Mytilus edulis: one gene and its partner. The protein of the gene in region 1 purifies or fractionates together with the protein of each later gene. This does not show direct contact. Links are inferred from orthologs where the notes say so. Each region holds a gene or a part of one and is shown in the gene's direction. Other genes may lie near its edges.

Evidence for each region.
Region 2: the proteins of protein phosphatase 1G-like (region 1) and importin subunit beta-1-like purify together in Homo sapiens (affinity purification with mass spectrometry; 3 studies listed by BioGRID and IntAct, with this or other methods). This does not show direct contact. The link is inferred for Mytilus edulis from reciprocal best matches to the Homo sapiens genes PPM1G and KPNB1.

What each region holds. Positions count from the first base shown.
Region 1 is NC_092344.1:110,068,414-110,080,088, reverse strand, and holds the start of protein phosphatase 1G-like, read left to right. Parts: upstream 1-7,345; 5' UTR 7,346-7,450; coding exon 7,451-7,561; intron 7,562-11,675. Other genes in the region: nuclear receptor-binding protein-like, read right to left, coding at 609-710, 2,461-2,583, 6,986-7,102.
Region 2 is NC_092357.1:50,290,516-50,301,895, forward strand, and holds the start of importin subunit beta-1-like, read left to right. Parts: upstream 1-7,139; 5' UTR 7,140-7,275; coding exon 7,276-7,315; intron 7,316-11,380.

The sequences.
Region 1 (11,675 bases):
AAATTATTTGGAATTTTCTTGTTTCATAGATAATAAAAAAAAATCGTCCATTTGGATAAAAAACAGGAATGCATGACAACAGATTAACCCGATATTCTCGTTTTTCCAGTGGACGAGTCTATTACGTTTTTGACACGTGTGTTGAAACTATTTTCGTACGACGTTTTCACATTTTATTTTTCTTTATCAGTTTTTTGTGCTTGAAGATCATTATTCACCAAGTTTTCTGGAATTGATCATTATAGAGCTACGTGACTCTGTTTTTCTTGTTTGTGAAATGACGATTTTATTTCGTATTTGTACGTGAACACCCCCCCCCCTTTCCCCCCTTTTTTACAGGAAATTATTAGACAATGTCATGCGATGTTTATGACGGCTGAGCAATAATCTTTCATTGAAGTAAAATTTAAGAAATGATGACAAAATAGCATAACAAACATATTGTTAGAAAGGTGAAATATATATATATTTTGCATATTTTTCTGTCTTGAAAATTATTTTTTTTTCTTTTTTTCCTTGACCGACCGACCCGATTTTTTCATGGGGAAAATCCGTAAACCAACAAATTAAAAAACCCTGGCCTAAATGTAACTTTAATATTTACTTACTCTTGATTTTCCATCTTTTGTGTCTGTCCAGTACTTGTGGAATTTGACTATATTTGGATGGTCTAACTGGATTAAGTTATCAAACACCTGTCTTATTTTGTCCTGCAATGATAGTTACATTATTAGTTAATTTTATTGCTTTTACAGATATGTATTCATTTTAATCCTTTAATTTACTTAAACTATTTGTATTAATATATTATAATTACCTGACCAAGGATCCGGAAATTTTTTCACCTAATTTCGGTCATTTTCGGATAACTTAAAAGTTGGTGCCCTTTTTCAAACAAAGATTGTGTGTATGCTCATACAGTGATACGTGTAGCATCAACAAACTTGTTTAACTGTTGCATCGCATTTACTTCAGAAATTTCCCTACCATTTTCCTTAAAATCGATCTTGAGCAATAAAAGGAAGGCAACAGTTTAAAAATGAAATGATTTTAATGACTCAAAACGATAAATTTCTCAAACTTCGCTTACGTTTCTTTCCATTTTGAAGACAAAATTATAACCGGATGTTTTACGACAATAGTAAAACGACCAATTCCAGACTCATTTCCGGGATTAGTTTTGTTTATCAAATTCACAGGAAATCGTTGGCTTTTTAACTGTTTTACCTTTAATAGTGTTTGAATATTAATTATAATAGTTGGACTTTTTTAATTTAGCATGAAATCATTTTGAATTTACGATTTAGTGTCTAATTTTCGGAGGAGCATTTCAAGCACGTGTGTTTGTAGTGAAACAATATTTTGTTCTACGTAAATTAATTTAATTTTAATTTAATTTTAAATCAGAATTGACAATGTCTAAGGTGAGAAAAGTAATTAAATATTGCAGACAGTTGTTATGAACTTTTAATTTCTTTAAAATATTAGTTCTGAGCTTGTGATCAATAGAAAATTTAATTAAAAACACAGGTAAAGAGATTAGCGATCATTAGCCAATATTTCCACGAGGCATTACTATAGTTATTAGGAGGGCCCTCAGGATTATAACACTTTACTAGAGTGGCAGTTTTATAACAGGAAAAGGATAATAAACAAAAAATAAGTTCAAAATGGTGATTTAGACAATGTTAGAAACTCGATCTCAACGAAATGACATTAAATGACCGAAATTGTTTCTGTAAAAAAATAAAATTTGTCCTAAATCCCAATTACTCATTTAGGACAAAATACTTTCAGTTTAGGTCAAGACTGGCATATATGACCGTTTCCAGACCCTTGTACCTGACACTCTTATTCTCATTATATACATTTGACTTAGGCTAATAAGCAATCAATCTTCAAAATTGTAAACATACCGATCTATAAATATAACTTGTCAGGTCATAGAGGAAAGATGCAACTATATTTTAGCTTAATTCAGTTTTTCTTGTCACAAACAGTATGTACTAGAGATGAAGCTTAAAAATTATGTCATAATGGCTTTCTTTTCAGAAAGTTATATGATCATAGGTCACTTCATTATCATATAATATGTATATATTAGATTTGAACTCTGGTGTAAAACTTAATATTTCTTTGAAACATAAAATGTAGGTCAGAGATATAATTGGAAACATAAAACTCCCTAAGGATACATTCAATTGCATTGCTAAACAAGGATTGATATATATATATATATAAAGATTTTTTCAATAAATTTATGACAGATTCAGTATGTAGCAATAGAACTATGGTACACTTGATACTATATATACATATCAAAATATAAAATATAAATACTGTTCATACTTGAGCTAGACCTTCTGAATGTGTGCCAACCCAACATAGTTTCTACAAATGTAGTAACACATATATAATTATGAATGCTGGATTCATAAACATGTATCTATAATGAAGTACCTCTTGAGCCTTCAAATTTCTGTTTTCTGAAAACTGCACTTCATTCCATACCACTTCGACACCTTCTTCTGTGTCCATAGCAAGAAAGGCATAATCAATACCTGGAACATCACGCTGCTCTACCTACAAAAATATTTTATAGTGTGTTTAAATTAAAACATCTTTTTTAAAATCATTTAAGCATTAAAGGGGCACTAGCTATGATATATATAAAAAAATAAAGTATGATTTTTTTTAGATCAATCATTAATCGAATTAGAATAATGAAATAATAATTTGCTTTTAGCAATCAATTTTCTTTAATTTTGTTGAAATAAGCGATTAAACATAATTTTTGACTGATTCACTTGCAAGTGAAAATGTCATCATCATTCTAACCGGTATTCATGTGAACTTCAAGTTAACCCCTAGCTAGAGATTGACAACGCATGCATTGTACGTGTACTGGTTATTTAAAGAAAAAGAATGTCAACAATGAAAATGAAACTACAGTAAATCATTTGATTACTAATTCGATGCACATAAAATCATTCTTATATGATTAAAAACAATGAGAAACATCTATTTTTAATCTATAAAATGAAATCAAACAGACCTATAAAAATCCAATTGCACGTGTTGGTTTAATCTATTCGTATCTTTATTTTTGTTTACATCGCTTATTTGGTCATCTGAGGTCAAATCGATAGTTAATTAGATGGTGTCTGGACTAAAATACACACGAAACGAACCTATATATTATCTACCCCATGCTCTGTAAACTGTTTATTTTAGACTTTTGATAGTTTGGATAAATGTTTTACATGGTTATAAACCAAATATGAGAATTTGAGTCAAATCGGTTACAATGAATTTGACAGTTAGTGCCCCTTTAACATATACACAGTAACTTCATTGTATCACCACAGTTTGTTCCTAGCAATTCGTAAAAACCTTATCTGTAATGTACTATGTACATCATGTATACACAAGACTGTTTATTAAACATTGCAATTTCCACAGTATAGGTGCATGTTATCCTCAAATAAAACAGCTGAGGACTATAACTTTTGAAGAATACCACGCAACAAATATTGTGGATAGCAAGTAAAGAATCACTCTAAGTGTTTTGACATTCCACAAAGCAAAACACCACAATATTCAAACTCATTCTTTGTAAAGACAGTGATCGTGTGGAATCAGCTAGACAACACTGAAGTGCACTCATCAAGAACAGAGAGCTTCAAATCTGCTCTCACGCCAATAAATCGGTGGCAGATTCTCAAACCGTTGAATTAAAGCCAGTATTGGTATTGGCAAGGTATTCATACAGGTACAGAATGCACATTAAGTGTTGAATTACCCTGGCACTGATTAGACTTGCAGTCTATCTTATGATTTTAATCTTAATTAAATTTTACAGTCACCATAATAATACAATACTAGAATCTAGGTCCATTCGCCAAAAACATTCCAACAGATTTAGACAATTTATTATAAACAATCAATTTGCCAAATGCAGAAAGTATCAATCAACTATTAGCGGAGTACATAGAGGAAACAAACCGTTTTAGTGGATAATTTAATACAAATTTCTTTTAATTTTTAATATTTTTTAATTTTTCATGCCATTTCGATAACCTCATTAACCATTTTTTTCTTTTTTTTTCACTTGATACATTTATATAAGTCTATAATATTTTTAAAGCGCCACCTACAATATCTAAGTACAAAGGAGAAACTACACTAGTGATAATAATTTTACAAGAGAGGATAATTCACAAGAGAGATTACTCTGTCATCACGACAAAGATTGAAGATTGAAGATCAAAAACATGTTCACGCCCATTCATATTCACCCCTTTAAGGCCCTTATCACTTTGGCACTTAAATTCTATTTCGCACCCTTATGTTTTTATGTTTTTGTGTTTAATAAATTATTTTATAATGGAGTTTTGGTAAGTGTATTGCTATAGCCTCGGCTATACCATATATGGACCATAATTTGGTATTCGGCCTTTGGTTTCTTTTTGTATCCTTTTTTATAAGTTCTAAAACTTTAACTTTTATTCTGTGGGTTGTGTTGGTGTTAGAATAGTATTAATGGAACAATTGAGTTTTTCAAGAAAAAAATAATACATTTTGATTCACCGTTTACATGACAGGAAACCAAACAGAAAACCAATCTATATTTTCTTTATTTTGTACAATATATTTCAAAAGACATAAATGAACACCATTACTAGTGTTACTTGCTTCATGTTAATATTTAAAATTTATTTTCAATGTTTTTTTTAAACGCGACAGGAAACCATAAGAAACCGAAAGCATTTTTTTAGTTTTATTTTATTGCAAAATCTGCTTAAAATAGTCTGAACAGTATACTTTTTCTTAAAATCCATCTTAAATGTAACAGTATTATAAAACTCCTAAATATGTGCTTGTTTTGAAAACAATTAGTAATAAATAAATTTGGTGTATTTACTGTCTTCTGATTGGTTAAAATTATTAGTTTTATTTTCAATGTTGTCAATTTTGATGGCGACACGCCCACTCTGACGTTGTGTATTCATACGCCAACATGTGTGTACGTTAATTGTTATTGTTAATATAAATAATATAAAATGTTCCTTGAGCCTTATTTTTGATAGAAATTTATTTATAATGAATGGCAATAATTTATTTTGATTTTATTGAACCATAAAACTAATTTTTGACTCTTCACATTTTACATAATCCGCTTCGCGGATTATTCAATGTGAAGAGTCAAAAATTAGTTTTATGGTTCAATAAATTCAAAATAGATAATAGCCATTCATTAACAATTTATTCAGAAATTTCCATATTTTCTTCATTGATACAGGATACCATAATCGTTGTATCTTGATGTTTTAGCCAAAAAAATGTATTTATATTTGGTTTTGAAATTCCAGTTATATACAATTTATTCCAAATCATTGGCAATGTAAAATTCTTTAAATCCAGTAAAGAAAAAAACTTTTAACTTGGAATTAAAATCTTTAAAATAGGCACCATGTGATATTTGTGACCTGTACACCATCTACATGGTTTCCACATTTTAACCTACTTTAGTGGGCTAAAATCAATAAATTACTTCCTTTCAAGTCATGCATGGAAAAGTTTACTTCTCCTTTGACAAGTTTATTGCGTTTCTGAAAAGTGTTTGCAGAACATGAATAAAAAAAAATAATTAAAAATTGTGACAAAGATAGCAACTTTGTACACTCCAAGTGTAACGGTATATTAACATGTATTTTTTATTAAGTTATCTTTATTCACCTAAAATATCCAGTAATATTTACTGCTGAAGCAAAATCAAGCCAACGAGCATCGGCACAATGATAAGAGACGTAATGTCGATTGAATTTTCAAAGGACCCTTTACATCGTTATCAGGAAACAAAGTGTGTCATAACGTCTGTCAAATCTGAAATCGATTTTGTCAAGTCATTGGGCATTTATTTTCACACAAGATCGTATGTAACATTATGCACATAGGAAAAACAATAGACCCCCGGTGCAATCTCTTTGAAAATTGTATTTTCCTTTTTTAAACAAGACGAAACAAGTCTACAGATTATGTTTGCTAACATCCCGTTGGAAACAAAAACAATGTTTATACCTAGTATTTCATACATCTGGCCGCAAGGGCGTGATCACATGTTAGTCACATGTTTCACGTATGACCGGAAATGATTAGAACTTAACGACAAAAACAATTTTAATAAAAAAAAAGGAAATAACTGGACTTCAGTTTCGTTTGAAATGTAACGCATAACGATAACGTCATTTTCTAACTTAATTATTACGAAGAACAAAACTAGAATGTAAATCATCTCTGATTTACCTGTTTGAACATCTCGCGAGAGTTCATATTTGCATATTGTTATAAAGAATTCTATTACAACAAAGCAGATTACATCATCTAAAATTTGCGTTACGAAATTGGAAACCAAAGTAACGCTAGTGTTCTTACACCTGCTACAGAAATACTTATAGTTCTCGGCATTTTCTTCTGACTATTCTAATTGGTCGATGTTCTTTATTATTTGAAAGCAAAAGTTACGAATTTGCCGGTTATAAATCAGTCAGCGTTATGCACTTCGGAAGCGAAAAGTAACGCGAGAAACGACACAAAAATACTGTCGTATAATCTTTGAAATTTGTTAATTTCAATTTTTTTTCTAGGGAAGAGTAGCATACACTTGTATGTTGATAAAAATAAAGGCTTCTTTAGATGTAGTTACAACTTTTCTTACAGTAATACACATTTTTATCACTTTTCTATCGTTATAGGAAACGAGCCCAATAGCAAATTATGGTCCATATACATGTACATGATGTAGTACAACTGCTATGACTATTGTATTCCTTTTCCCAAATGTTAGTAATCTTGTAATACATTTAAGTGAGTGATATTTCATAGAAAAAGTTTTCAATCTGTATCAATATAAATTCTGCCAATGTAGGCACTCCTCCAAAATGAAATTATGAAGATAGTGAAGTAAATTTGATTATTTTCTTACTTCTTCTCTTCTTTTCTGCCATCTGCCACATGGCGAATATTCTAAGACTTCCCCTTCATCTTCAGACTCGTCAGCACTGTCATTTTTTTCTGGTTGTTCCTGGTCTACATCTCCCATGTCAAAGTTCTTATATGAACAAAATTTCTGATCATTCACGAAAAATTTATTTACCTTCGGAGCAGACGGAAATTGGATAGATCACAACTTCAGCAGCAAATATTAGAATAAAAATAAACAGAAATGAAAGAGTCGCGCCCTCCAGGTTATATAAAAAGGTAAAAACTTATCAATATTGTTCATGACAATGGATTCATTTTAAGTAATCCAATTTCCACCTCTTGTTTAACATATAATATTTTCGTCGGACTTGTTATTTGATCACATGACCAATGGGGAACTAACCGCGAAATACACATGTGGAAATCTGGAATGTTTACCAAAGATATTGACTAATTTAGCGACATTATGGGTGTCTATTTGTCGACGCCAAACACTGAAAAAATTTCAAGTGACGAAACATGTCAAGGTTTCAAATATGGGGCATCTTCAATGCAGGGTTGGCGAATGGCGCAAGAGGTGAAAACAACATCATCATGATCAAAAATATTATGACCCTTAAAAGTCTAAATTTCTTAGTTTTGCTTGAACGACTTCCATTGAAGAAAACAATAAAAAAAAATCCATGATAATGTCTTAAGAAATGTTGTCAAATACACTTTAAAAAGCTACATAACAGTCCATTTATTGTTTAATTAAGTCAGTTGCTTTCATTTTAACTAGGCAGTGTCTGCGCGTACCCGCATGCGGGTACGAATAGTCATATTGACGGTCTTGGCTGCGCGTACCCACATCTGGTTTTCTAGTAAAATGCTATAGGATTGGGAAATGAAATGTGAAATATATACGGAAATTATCTATAATATGGGGATTTCGTGTATAGTCGCCGTCAGCTGAAATTCGTAGCGGTTATCGGTAAAAATAATTAAACTATCAATCGCATTCACTCGAGATATAGTTTTTCACATTCCATTCATAAATCGCAAAAAGAAAAACCACTACTGACCTACCTTTTAAGTGATCACACTGTGAACAATGTAAGGCCTATCTGCCCAAAACGCTTCTGGATTTAGATCCTTTGAAATACCTTTTTTTTATGCTTATTAAATATAATGTATCCCTCATTTGGTATAGCGTCCTGCTCCGCCATCAATCCTGTTATGCAGTTTCGTCATATACTTGATGATGTTTTGCTATGTCCTACGTCAATGAAAGGACATAGATTTGAGCCAAAAATGGCCATAGAGTAAATAAAGGACATAAATGTGAAATTATACAGGACATAGATTTGGAACGTCTGACACAATATTAAATAGGACATAGATTTGAGGCCGGACATAGATTTGAGGCTTGCATATATTTAGCCATTTTCTATTATAAAAAATTACATCATACCCTGGATAAAATTAGTGTTTTGTAATCAATTTTTTTTTAAATGAAATAAGTTTGCTCAACATCCTTGACAGTCTGTTGGGTTTCAATCTTTATTGGCATTTAAAATTAGCTAATGCACGGAATTACCAGATATTTGTAGAACTGTCAAGAAGGGGGTTTCTTAATTTTTGACACAAATTTCATAAATTCTTATAGTTGATATTCATCAAGGTTTCTTGAAATTAAATTATGTTGTGAATTTTTTTCCACTATAATAATTGTTTATTGGGTTTTTTTTAAGTGAAAGGTACATGGATACACAGGATGTACCACAATCTTTTAATTGTGGGATTATTAGGGCCCCGCCTTCAGGCGGGTCGCCCTATAGTGATCAGTCTGTCCGTCCGTCCGTCCGAATCTAGAGAACCATTATGATTTCATTCTTTATACTTTACATGTTTATTAACCACCACCAGAGGGCGTGTCATGATGTATATACAACTTCCTAGGTCAAAGGCGGGTCGCCCTATAGTGATCAGTCTGTCCGTCCGTCCGTCCGTCCGAATCTCGAGAACCATTATGATTTCATACTTTATACTTTACATCTTTATTAACCACCACCAGAGGGCGTGTCATGATGTATGTACAACTTCCTAGGTCAAAGGCGGTTCGCCCTATAGTTATCAGTCTGTCCGTCCGTAACACTTTAACTTTGTGTCCGCTCCATATTTAGAGAACCATTATGATTTCATACTTTATACTTTACATGTTTATTAACCACCACCAGAGGGCGTGTCATGATGTATATACAACTTCCTAGGTCAAAGGCGGGTCGCCCTATAGTGATCAGTCTGTCCGTCCGTCCGTCCGTCCGAATCTCGAGAACCATTATGATTTCATACTTTATACTTTACATCTTTATTAACCACCACCAGAGGGCGTGTCATGATGTATGTACAACTTCCTAGGTCAAAGGTCAAGGTAAAAAAACTTTGGTTTCAGTTGACAACCCTGTGTCCTGTGGTGAAGATCGTGTTCGCTCTATATCTTGAGAGCCGTTATGATTTCAAAGTTTATACTTGACATGTATATGAACCAACAACAGAGGGTGTGTCATAATTTATGAACGACTGTCTAGGGCAAAGTTAAAAGTCAAAAACTTTGGTTTCAGTTGACAACCCCATGTCCTATGGTAAAGATCGTGTCCGCTCTATATCTTGAGAACCGTTATCATTTCAAAGTTTATACTTGACATGTATATAAACCAACACCAAAGGGTGTGTCATAATTTATTTACAACTTCCTAGGTCAAAGGTCAAGGTCAAAAACTTTGATTTCAGTTGACAAACCCATGTCCTATGGTAAAGATACAATTTTTTAATGCACATTATTCACAGCGGGGCCCACAGAGATGGCTCCCATCTCAATGATATCTAGTTTCTTTTAATCTCCATTAATTGCAAATCAACTTTTTAAAGCCATTTATTTGTTATATATATATTTGGGGTTCATTAATTTAACAGCTTGTAATTTGATAGGTACATTACACATGTGCGAAATTTTGAAAATTTCATTTGCCCCAAAAATATATACTGATTTTGTTTTAAAAACAGGAAAATTTAATATTCAGCTGTTTCCTGAATTTCTGAAATTTTGTAGGTTAAAGTATTCCCCTGGATAAGTTACTTCGTTTAAACCTCTTTTTTTATTACTTGGTTTTAATACAGACAACTGCTGTGAAAAGTTAGGGTCGGAGGAGGTAAAAAAAATCAATCCTTTTTAAGCCCACCCAAATTTGTACTTGATCTAAAAACTAAACTCATAATAATCCTGCATTTTATTGGTCACTTTTGGTTGACTAATAATTAAAATTTTAAAAAAGCTAATATTTAAAGAAGTCCAAATTCATCACTAGAACTGGTATCTTATTTCTTCCTAATGCCAAAGCACTCATAATAAGAAACAATAAAAATTTGTAATAAAAATAATAGTCCCCAATTTATCACTAGAACTGGTACATAACATCTTCCCAATGATGATCAAATTGTATTTTAAAGTTATCAACGATCTTTGCAGACACAACTTTTTCGGGTAAACTATTCCGATGGTTTATATTATAATATTCGTTGGGGAAAATGTCACTTCTTATTTATAATTTTTTTCGTAAAAAGCATTGTAAATATTGATCTGAGACTGAGAGTGTCTGTAAGGATATAAGGGCATGAAGGGGGGATATCAAAGATTGAGAACAATGTTTTATTCAATGGCACGTAGGTTTCAGGGGAGTGAAACACACGTTTATGTAATTAGTCTGCATCATTTGAAAGTTTTATTTGGAATGCGTCGTTCATGACAACAACAGAATTTAACACAAAACAAAACTTTTTGAAACTCCTTAGATTATTTTTTTACTGCACTCGAAAATTCAGGTCGGCGGAATAAAAACAACATGAAATCTAAAATTTTTATTTTATTTCACTTTTAGACAAAATCAGGTCGACAGATCCGTAAACCAACTTATAAAAAATAAAAAAGCCTTATATTCTTTTCTCATACTAAAATGAGAGTCATTGATAAGTAAACAAATGTATAGTGTTCACATGTTCAAGGTTACAAGATAAACACAACTTATTGAATAGTATTTAATTTGATTAATGATATATATATGTTTTAATATGCTATCAAAACTATGTTGTTACATTATCATTATCATATATATATATATACATGTATATATCTGTTGTAGAGTTGACACTGGTTCAGACGTACTTATAAATATAATTATTTCTGTGACTGTATCTTACGTTAATTTGTAGGATCCTTTATCATAGATAATTTAGCTGATCTGTAACAATAACATCTTCATGCCTTATATATCATCATCATGTACTGTATTACGACACTAGATTAAAACCGACGAGGAAAGGTAACACCAGGCACCTGAAGGCTTCAATATTTATGAAGCCCAGGTGGTTGTTAGGTCTAGTGCGCCGGATACAGTGCAGGTGATTTGGTGTCTCGATATCTCAGAAGCATGGGTTCAAATCCCGGCGAGGGAAGAACAGAAAATTTGCGCAAGCAAATCTAAAGATCTAACATTGTTGGGTTGATGTTTAGACGAGTTATATATATATATATATATATAGAAGCCCAGGTGGTCGTGTGGTCTAGTGGAACGGCTGCAGTGCAGGTGATTTAGTGTCACGATATCTCAGTAGCATGGGTTCAAATCCCGGCGAGGGAAGAACAAAAAAATTGC
Region 2 (11,380 bases), on another chromosome or scaffold:
TATCTACGGATATGAACGTAGATAACGAATTTATCCCCGGTCTTAGTCCGAATCGGACGAGTTTTATGGAAATTTGGGTACAAAGTGTAACGTGAAAACAACGTTTTCTTCATTATCTAAAAAAGTTTTATTGAAATTTGGAAATTTTACATAGTTTCTACGGGGTGTAGGGTACTACCTTTGGTAGAACCCTACAGGTAGTCAAATATAAGTCGTTTTTAATACGGAGACAGAGAAACTTGATTGAGTCAAATTTGGCGCTCAATGTTGTGATAGTTACGTCATAGATAGTGTGACGTCAACATGGGTCATTTGCATTGCTAGGTCAGTAGTCCCATTCCTTGAAAATGTGGTAGTCAAGTGATGCATTTAATGAAATGAGTGTAAATGATCGACATAATAGGACAAAATTGTAATGAATTAAATATTTCATTACAAACATCATGGATAATCTACAGAATTCAATATTTCACAAGGAGCAATCATGGAACGAAGGAAAAATTGCGTGAAGTTCCCCGGGACAATGGTTAGCAACGTCCGGGGATATGGGTTAGCAACACCCAGGGGCTATGGGTTTTGTAACGACGTGCGTTAACCAATCAAAATCCTAGATATATACTAAGCCGGGGATAAATCGTCCATACCGCCACATCGTCCATGGGACGTATCGGCCATACCTTGTGAGACGTATCGTCCACACTTTAATTTTTTGTTATTGAGGTTATAACATAAAGTATAATAATAAAATAAGTATGCATTCATAGTAATAACATAAATATGATGTGATATAAAGGCATCTTATAATAATAATAATAATAATAATAAATTCTTTATTTAAAGAGGGTAACTCAATTAGAAATAGTCTAATTTTCATTGAGGCCCTCAAACAAAATACATGCATACAGTTAACATTCATACATTCATACATTAATTTACAATATATATTACTAGTATATACACAATTCAATCATTGAAATATACAAAGGGTAATAAATGACAATATTTGATATAGTTTTGTTAGAGGAAAACAAATTAGTTGACTTGCATATAATTTTCAAGAAATATATTTTATATGAAGTTGAAACTATAGGAGTTGACTGCCGCTGTCGATGACGATATATATAAATACAAATTACAAGCACATGTTACCGATCTTTTTATTATATCTGTAAAAGGTATATTATTCTAAACAAATCTGTGATGATTTTATAGTCTACTTTTACGAGTCAAAAGATTTGTAGAGAAAATCAGTCTAAGTGAAATTTCAAACAGTACTCAGTGTAAAGGTTAACTCTACGGAAGGCAATTCGAGTTATATTTGTCCTGATCATCATATATATAGTTTAATAATTCTGTGTTTTTCTTCTTTCTTATAGTTTAGAGTCATTCCTAATAACATGATAAATTATGGTTTCAGGAATGTTCGTATTGCTTTGTTCATTGTCACGGTTGAATACTGTTTTTTTGACGATTTAGATGTTCCCCTTTTTGTGCATTTGTTGATGGAGACATGTATTATGGACTGTCTGAAGCTTATGGACAATCATACCAATATAGTATAAGAAACACAAAAAGATAATATTTTCGTTTAATATATTTTATTTATTCATTCAGTCATACAGACAAACAAATATACAACACACATATAAACCATACAGCATACACCTTCACGTTAATAATTGTAAATTTGTTTGATAATTGGTTGGCAATCACGTAAACTAATTAAAGGATTAACACCTCCGAAATTTGTAAACTGAATTTGCATTAAACAGATCAGTACTAGAGATACGCGTCCAATGATTGGATTAATATGATTTATGATGGGTTTTTGTATATGTAATCATACATAATCATAAATAACGGTCTGATCCCTTTGGCATAACAGTACTTATTCAAAGTAATAGTCAACCTCAGGAAATGAAAAAAATCTTCCCAATTTAGCATTTGCAGGAGAAATACTGATATCGGTAACAGGATAGACAAAAAGGTAACCCTTGAGGCAAGTGAGGCAATTGCCTCACTAAAATTTCGACACTGATTATTTTTTTTTTATACATATATATAAATACTAGAACACACCCGCGAAATCGCGGGGAAATAGAGCGTATGTAAACTGTAAAAAAAATATACTGACTGGAGAATTTCAGGAGAGGTATCAAAATTCAAAGGTACTTAGGGACTGGGCACATTTTTTTGCCCTCCTCCTATTTTCCAAATACAGATTTTTATACCTTCTGTTTTTCTGTACTCTATGAACATGCATATATACTTTAATTACTCAATACAGAGAATTTCAGGAGAGGTATCAAAAGTCAAAGGTACTTATATACATATGGGGTGGGGGGGGGGGTGGGGGGCTGCCCCCCATTTCGTTGAAAAAAGATTGTAGATTATATGGGGAAACATGAGAGTAACCCCCCCCCCCCCTTATGTCAGTCAACGCCCCCCCCCCCCCCCCCCTCCCTTATGAAAAGTTCTGGATCCGCCACTGTAAACTAATTGATAGTAAATAGCAAATATTATTCATTTTCGTTTTCCTCCCAAAATAACCCAAACTGAAACACGTTAAGCAAGGATGATACATGCTAGATCTCAAAATGATAGCAGAAAGCAAATTCATATACTTTATTTCATAGTCTTTGTATGTTCGAAGTACAGAAAAACACAAACCGGAAGTCTAATCTGACTTAAAGTTTTGTCCAATGACGGGAAAATATCCGGACGCATTCTTTTTCGTTTTTTATCCCAAAATAACCCAAACTTAATGATCATAAGAATGGATGACAAATGCGACTATACATGTTACCTATAGGACACAGAGGCATGATGATTATTTTCTTGTGAAAGGAGGAGAAGCGACACCAAAAATGAGGTCTTCTCGTTTAATAGTATAGATAATAGTCATTTGTTGTTCTGTCTCAACCTTAATTGCTATAACTTGTCATCATTCCTTTTAAACTATTCTTCCTGGATATAACTCAGCATCTCAACGGGTGATGTTTCTCGGTAACATTAATCTAGTAACGATAATCATCATGGATCTTTAGTTAAAAACAGGCTCTTGCAGAAAAAGGAAAAGCGACACTGAAGGTAAAGAAGGAATAATTCTAGTAAACTAGTTTTTTTTTTGTGAACAGAGTCTGAGTATTGCATATAACTTCATTAGAACAATCCAAAAACGATAAGTAGACTGACAAATCAAGTAGTGGTCTTCGGAAAGGGGCAGTCCTGTCTGCGTATTCATTTCTCCGTTTCACCAACTTTTGACAAATCAAGTACTGGGCATCGCAAGGGGGCAGTGCTATCTGCGTATTCATTTCACGAACTTTAATCTTTCTCTTTACAGATAAATAAAATATAAATAATATGAAACATGAATGCATGGATTAGTTTTTATCCATGTTTCTTTAACCTTAAAAATTGAAAGAATATCCCATATTATTGAGGAATGGTAGAACCTTATTAAATTAATTAAACACAGGATTTGTCTTTACTTATTCGGGACTACGGAATTTCGTTTCTTTATATTCGGGGTTTCGGAATCGGACACCCCAACCCCTAACCCCTAAATTTATAGATTCTGGAACTAAAATACCACCAACTATTTCCAGAAATAATTTGAAATTACGGAACTACATGTAAACGTCAAAAACTCCATTCCAATTTCCCTGTACCCATATCATATATACTTACTCTATAGATAGAATCATATACATGTATGTTATCTCATTCTATCCCTAGTTTGTCTACTCTTTGTCAGCATAAAAGCGAGTTTAATATTTTGTAACTGCGACTGATGGTGCTTACAGGAAAGCTTAATTCCCTTTTGCAAACAAAAGCTGCTACCGAATTGCTGATGGAGAAGGAATTGGAAGAAGACATTGATCATTGTGTTGATGATAATGTGCTACTTTTAGGAACACAGACTGCCCTGAAACGACTGAAAACTTGGAAAAGAGCGAGAGATTGTGCGGTCTTGCCATGCTCCATGTTCATCGCGATAAGGATATCAGAAGACCAAATTATGATTCTAAAACGATTTGACTGAACCGGCCATAGAAAAATTTGACAAACTCTTCTGAATCTATGTTTGTTCTATGTTCTGGCAGCAGACTCAAATCAGTGATATTTGGATTATTATCTTACATATAAATTTACATAAAGTTGTTAAAAATTTGGTGTTAGTAAAAGTCTTAAAATATGAAAAATTTATATAAAAAGTGTCCAATTCAAAACATTATCAAACTCTCTAAAAATGCCTAGAATGCAGGATTTTGCACCATTCATTTCATACCCTCCTCACTAAAATAAGATGCCTAGTTACGGCCTCGGTAACAGGATAGAACTTTATATATAGTGATATATCATTAACGTACCAATGAAATACAGACAAAAGTAAACTAACATGTGAGGGATTTACTTGATGTTCGGTTTCTTTGCAAGAGAGAAAAAATGCCGAACAATATGAAATGCTATCTAAGACTTGCATTACTGGTGGTAATTTGTTTAAACCTTTGAAAACCAATTTTCCAAAGTTGAAATTAATAAATCGAAATCTGGAGTACAAAAAGACAAAGTATTGTCATCTGCACAGTTATATAAACTACCATTTTTAACAAAAAGAAAAATATCATTTATAAATATGTTAAACAACAATGGCCCTAGTATCGAACCATGTGGTACGCCTTTATGGATGTCAGTCCAACCACTCAGAACATGCCTTGCTTTTAATAGCTAATTGTCTATTGGCAATATTATATTCAACAGAGTTTTTGTTCGCTACACTGTTTCTAAAAGTACATAACATTCGCTTATGAACAACAGCTTCAATTGGGATCTGACCTAGTAACAATAGAGTACCAGTATTAGCAGTTCTTTCTGGTAGGTGCTGTATTTGTTTCATGAGTTTAATGAAATAAGTACTAAGGTTTTTAATATCTTTTGCTGACAGACAAATCACATCCAATCCATACAATAACCTTGGGATTACATAACAGTTAATGAGATGAAGAGACACTTTTGGATTCATACCATTAAGGCCATGGAGGCCTGCGCCCATTAGAGCATAGACAGTTTTGCGTGCAGTTTGAATTCTGTCGGGTACAACTTCTTTTGTGCCAGTTTTTGACCCATTATCTCGTTTACTACGTAATGTATGTTTGCACTCCGCTTGAACTCTGAGTCTCAGCTTGGGTGCTGTATTTTTATAGTGATCTCGAATTAATATATTATATTTCCTTTATAATTTCTTGACAAAAGCATAATTAATACTTGTGTTCATCAAAGGAGTAATAATAAGCAATTAACAACCTTCTTTCGGAGGATTTAACAAAATTAAACATGATAGATAATGTAAAAACAGTATAGTTTATTCAAAAGTTATAATAACCATCTATAAGTATCAAAATAATTCATATATAACATCTATAAAAAATAAAAATAAAAAACCATGGACGATACGTCTTTACAAAGTATGGCCGTTTTTGTCGTGTGGCCGTTTCATCTTTTCGGGGTATGACCGATACATCCTGTGGACGTCATGGCAGTATGGCTGTCACGTCCTGCATCGGTGGACACCCGTGTTAGGTCGAGGGAAGCACGTGCATCAATATTTACTGTACATCGGGCATGGGTTCTCAGTATGTCATGGGGTGCAGTTTAATTGTTTTTCGCTTTCATGAAGAACCCACCCAGACTTATATAGATCAAGCAATTGTATGTTCAAATATACAGTTCCTTTTTTCAATACATTTCTAACCGAATTGATGTAATTTTAAAATCTTAAATAAATCTTCTAAATGTTTATGGCCCTTGACCAAAGAAAATGTAATTCTTATGTAAAAACTGGGCTGTTATATTGGTGACTGTTTTGAATTAAGGAGATCAGGTATGAGTATTGACACTAAAAGTCAAGTTAATGAGGGGGATAGGACCTTTATCGGTACTCCGGGATCGGGTGTTTTTAAGCTCGGGATTTCGTGATTGACCCCTTCGGGATCCGGGAATTCTTTTTTTCGAATTTCGGGACCTCGGGATTTTGTGTTTTTAAGCCCGGGATTTCGGGATCTGGTGTTTTTAAGTCCGGGATTTCGGGATCAGGACCCTCCTACCCTCCCTCGTTAATGATTTGAGAATGAATATAATGTAAAAAAAAATCTTTTATTCACAATAAATATATGGTTTTTGGCTTGATTTTGACCAATGCTAATATACAGTTTCTACTAAATATGTATTTATATCATGTACTCTGTGACTTTTATTGTTGTACTGACGGTTACCAATTATAATCAATTGTATCTGATTTTATGCCCTTAATGGGCCCTGTTATTTGGGAAATAAAAATATTCCGTATTCTATTCTATAGATGCAGGAACATATATATTATGTTAGATATACTGTTCCCAGATAGATGTCAGATGAATATTGTATTCTCATGCAGGCCATGCAGACTCCGGTCGAATTAAGGGCATAAACAAAGTGACGTCAATATAGTTCAAGATTAAAAAATAACATTCAATAAAATCAAGTAATATGAATCATTTAATTGTATATTTATGTTCAATACTGTCTGAGAAAGCTGGGAACAGTTTGTTAACAACTTTATGTTCCTGGAGAAAATAATTCAGTATTGTTCCAACCCGAGATTTTTTTTTTGGAAACTTTAGAATCAAATAATTTGAAATACACAAGATGACTGATGGGTGCTCTTAGACAGGTTACAGGCAATTGATATCATTCGATTGAGGCAGGGACTTTCTATACTATAAGTCCCTGATTGGGGGAATGAAAAAAATTGGCGAAACTGCAAGCTTGCAAGTAGATAGTATTCATTTTTTGGCGGGAAAATGTTTTGGCCGAATCACATTTCTTGTCGGATACATAAAATCTATTTATTATTTTTGGTAGTTAAAGTCGAAATATACCTTTTATTGTTATTCTCATTGTATTTTGAAATTCAAACAATGTCAAGTGATTCCTTTTTTTTCGAGTTTTTTTACAGTCAACTGCAAAAATAAGAAAGGATGTGAAATAGTTCATTCTGAAATAAACCTTAATTTGGTTGGATACATTTTGCAAGAATTCTGCAAATAGTTCATTTTCGTCCAATGAAAACAAGCCTTTTAAAATACCTCGGCTGACTTCTGCCGGCAAACCTTCTCTTCGCCATCTTGGATTATCACGCTTCCCACATGGGAACTGGCTGACCGGCCAATTTAAAGAAATTTCAGGAACGAGCAGAATATATAAACACATTTTTACACTGTAGACATCAAGATGGACCTTGTTAGCATTTTAGAGAAAACAATTTCGCCTGGTAATTCACTTTTTTCCACATTCATTCATTCACCAGTTGACATTGTTCACATATTTTCTCGCGGACTGCATGGGATTCTGAATATATTTTAATGTCTTTTTATTTTGTCAACATTCACTTGTTGCTTATGAAAAGATCGGAGATGTTTATTTTTCTTAAAAGAATCCATCACATAACCTGAACTAGACTGATCAACGATAAAAAAAAAACGAACACCATACTTTGTGAAATGCCAAGTAGCAAAATTGTCCATTGTATCTATTTTGAATATCAGCAGTTGAAAATGATCAATAAGGTTAAGCTTTATTTGAAGATATATGGCTATTATACCTCAGAAACAGTTATCACTAACAAAATCACGATTTTGATTTTTAAATGAACTGTACTGGTTGACCTGTATGTGATCATGAAAGGTCATTAAGGTTTATGTGGACCCTATGGCTAAAATGGCCGTATTTTCACCTCAAAATTTACTCTGAGTACAGACAAACCTGTGCATCTGTAAAAAATTCCAGGCATAGCATGCCCTAGATAAATAAATTTCAAATTTGTTTTAGAAAAATAAAAACTTACCAGAATTTTGCCGTGCACTTTTTTCATTCCTCCAGAAGGTGCCAAAATAAACTAAGTTGGGAAACAGGTTTGAGAACTTCCCCACAGGTAATAATTGAAGTGAGCTGTATTGCTTGACATGGACATGAGATGGACAATAGATACCTAACAATAATTGGTCATTTAAAGTGTGTACCTGAGTGGACCATATCAAGGTAAACTCAACTGTTAATTTTATCATCTTCTGCAGGGACGAAAAAAAGTGAACGGCAAATTCCAGTTAAGTTGTGAATTTTCTAATTCATACAATGCATTTGAATTCTATTTATCTAGGGCATGCTATGCCTTAAAACTTTTTCAGATGCACAGGTTTGCCTGTACTCAAGAGTAAATTTTGAGGTGAAAATACAGCCATTTTAGCCATAGGGTCCACATGAACCTTAATCATTGTAACTTGAAGATATTTTATTTCTGAAGTTAAAATTCTTAGTAGAAAAAGCACCAATTAGAAGTAATATATTTTCAGATATAATATTTGTTGACATGTACGAAGACACCTGCACAACTTCAATTTTGGAGGCCACTGTCTTGTTTTCAGTTTTATTTATGTAAACTATGGTCGATTCATTTGAATAGTTGTGCAATGACGGCATATTACATATAATGAAAAATCCTGGTACTAAATTTCTCTGTTAGTATCTGATGACGATATTTATTTAGCCTATTGTAGCCAGTTCTGAATTCAGACATGATTCTCCTAATAGTTTGGTTTCGGGTAATCAAGTTGATGGGTCTTGCCTACAATAGGAACTTATTCGTGTAGTTGTCTCCCAGTTTCACTTCTAGTCCATCTATTTTGCCATTTTAGTTTGGTTGACATCTTTACTGTGCTTTTTACATCAGACGTGGTTATGAAGTTTTACTGGTCATTTAGATTTGAGGCCTCCTGTGCTGCATCTTTTGCTAACTGGTCCGCTATCTCATTCCCGGCTATATTAGCATGGCCTGGGATCCAAGATAGGGTAGTTTGTATACTGCCTCTCAGGATGGTCCCAATGCTTTCTTTCATGTCTGTAATAGTGTCTGTATAGTTCGATAACTTCCAGTTGAGAGTCAAGATGCCAACCGCTGTCTGGCTATCTGATATGATCTTTATTTCAGTGAACTGTTCTCTAAGTGTGTAAATGCAGTGTTCTAGGACCATAAGGATAGCTATGAGTTCCGCTAAGAGTATTGAACCTCTTCTAGCTACTGGTCTTTTTAGGCTAGTTCCTTGTTGGTTCTCAGTATATATAACTGCTCCTGCTCCACAAGGTCGTGGATTTCCCTGACAGGAGCCATCTGTAAATGCGATAGCTGTTGACTCGGAGTTTTCTCCCATAAGTTTTTGTACTACTTGTTTGCTTTGGGCAGTTTGCTCTGCAGTTCTGTTTTTAGAGCTTCCAAAACAACTCGCAGTAGCTTGGTGCTCTCATCAGCATAAAGTCTACTCCTGCCTTGTACAGGGATCTCCATGGATGGAAATTGAACGATGGAGGAACTTTCACCATTACAAACCGTGTCTACGCTGTACAGTGTAGCGCGATTGGAAGTATTTTATCCCTCCATACAAGGAATGGTGAACATGCTAATTCATTGCTTATGTAAATTATTTGAATTTTCATTATAGAATTAGAAGTATCAATATTTTCATTTATTGCCGTTTTTAACCATTCAAATGCCAAGTCTTCATGGACCCCCTTAGTCAAGAATGACCAAAAGCTGTCATGAAGGTCCCCATGTAGATTTCTTGTATTTTTGGTAATTGTTATGGGGGTTAAAAATCATATGATGTGGAGCTTATTTTTCATGGACACTGTTAAATTCAGAACCCATTACCGGTATGGCTGATTTGCAGCACCAACAAAACGATTCGTACGGGTTATTTAAAGGGTTAAAGAGATTTGTAAAGCAAACATTGACAAATGAAAAGGTTTTTTAATGACTTTATCTGGCAAATTGATGTTGTGCAACATGCATCTTTCGAGTCTGAATAGAAACCGGAAACGCGGATGTATCAATTTGATTGTAACATACGAAATGAATTTGGAATTACTATACGATATTTCTTTACAGGAAATATTTAAGTTTTTTACTTTTAAACTTTTAAAGAAATTCTAAATTATCGTTACAGCAGGACTCGAGTTATTTGCGATGAAATAATATTTACTGTTTTGCATCTTATTTTGTAATTCTTAAAAAAGGGGGGATACTGATTGCGTAAGTCAAAATAAAGCACGTGTTCGACTTGTTAAACTGTTTTCTTTGTAACTGGATTATTAATTTATTTATTTAATCTAAATTATCATAATCATTTGCTGAAACTTAGTTGATTAATTCGACAAATGGATCGTCTATCCTCAGATAGTATTTTGTCTGGTTTGTTGATCTACCTCTACAAGCTCAGGTACAAGTGATTCGCGATCTTGATCCGGATATCCCTCAGGCGTCAGAACTGTATTATAACATAAAAGGTCTAAGGGTTATTCATGCAATTACATGCATTTGATTATAATTGATAAAAAAAATGGCGTCTGGCTTTAAAAAACGATGAAGTTTTGAACGATGGCGCAAGACAATTTAACGATGGCGCGAGTCATTTGAACGATGGCGGGTCGCCATCATTAAACAGGCCATGGAGATCCCTGCTTGTAGGTAAAACTCTGGTTCTATCAGTTTTATGTCTACTTTTGTTGTTATTAGCATATCCATAGCCTGATTAATAGCCTTACCAAATGGAGATTCTTGGTGCTCATATGTATCAGTGTTGGTAAGATATTCCTCCAGCTGTTGTTTAATTGGTTCAGCTATATTTTTGGAATGATTTTTTGCTATTCTTGGACTGATATTTTTTCCATTTCAGAGATCGATTGGTTGCATATTCTTGGGCATTATTTAACAGGTTGGAGACATTCTCCATGAATATCAGAATGTGTGATTTTAATAAAATAAACTGTTCAGAAAACCTTTTTTTACCACATTTGGGGAATAGTTAATTGTCCCCCAACCTGCAGTGATATTGTTGTCTTTTTTCAAAACTACCTCTATCGTTTTTTATTGGGGGAAAATGCATATTTTTTATTGAAATTTTGAAATTTGTTTATTTTATTCTAAACACATCTCTGATATTTTGCTGACCTTTGCTGTCTTTTTTTGCACTGTTTTTTCATGTATATTTTGGTTGTCAAACAGACGCAATGATGGTACTTAATGCATTGAAAACCACATGTGTTACAAACACCATGATGATTCTGATCAGAAATCTGGATCTCAAAAGTGCTTTCTATTATCATAATAATGACATGAATACGATATTTACAAACATTACCCTAATGCCATCACTGTTTTGGGAAAATGTAAAACTTTTTGTGAGTAATTTTAAGCCATTTTTTTAGTTATTGGAAATTTTCTCTAGGGGAAAAAGCCGAATTTCGGCTGTAATTTGAGGCAAACAATATCACTGACCTGTTAAAC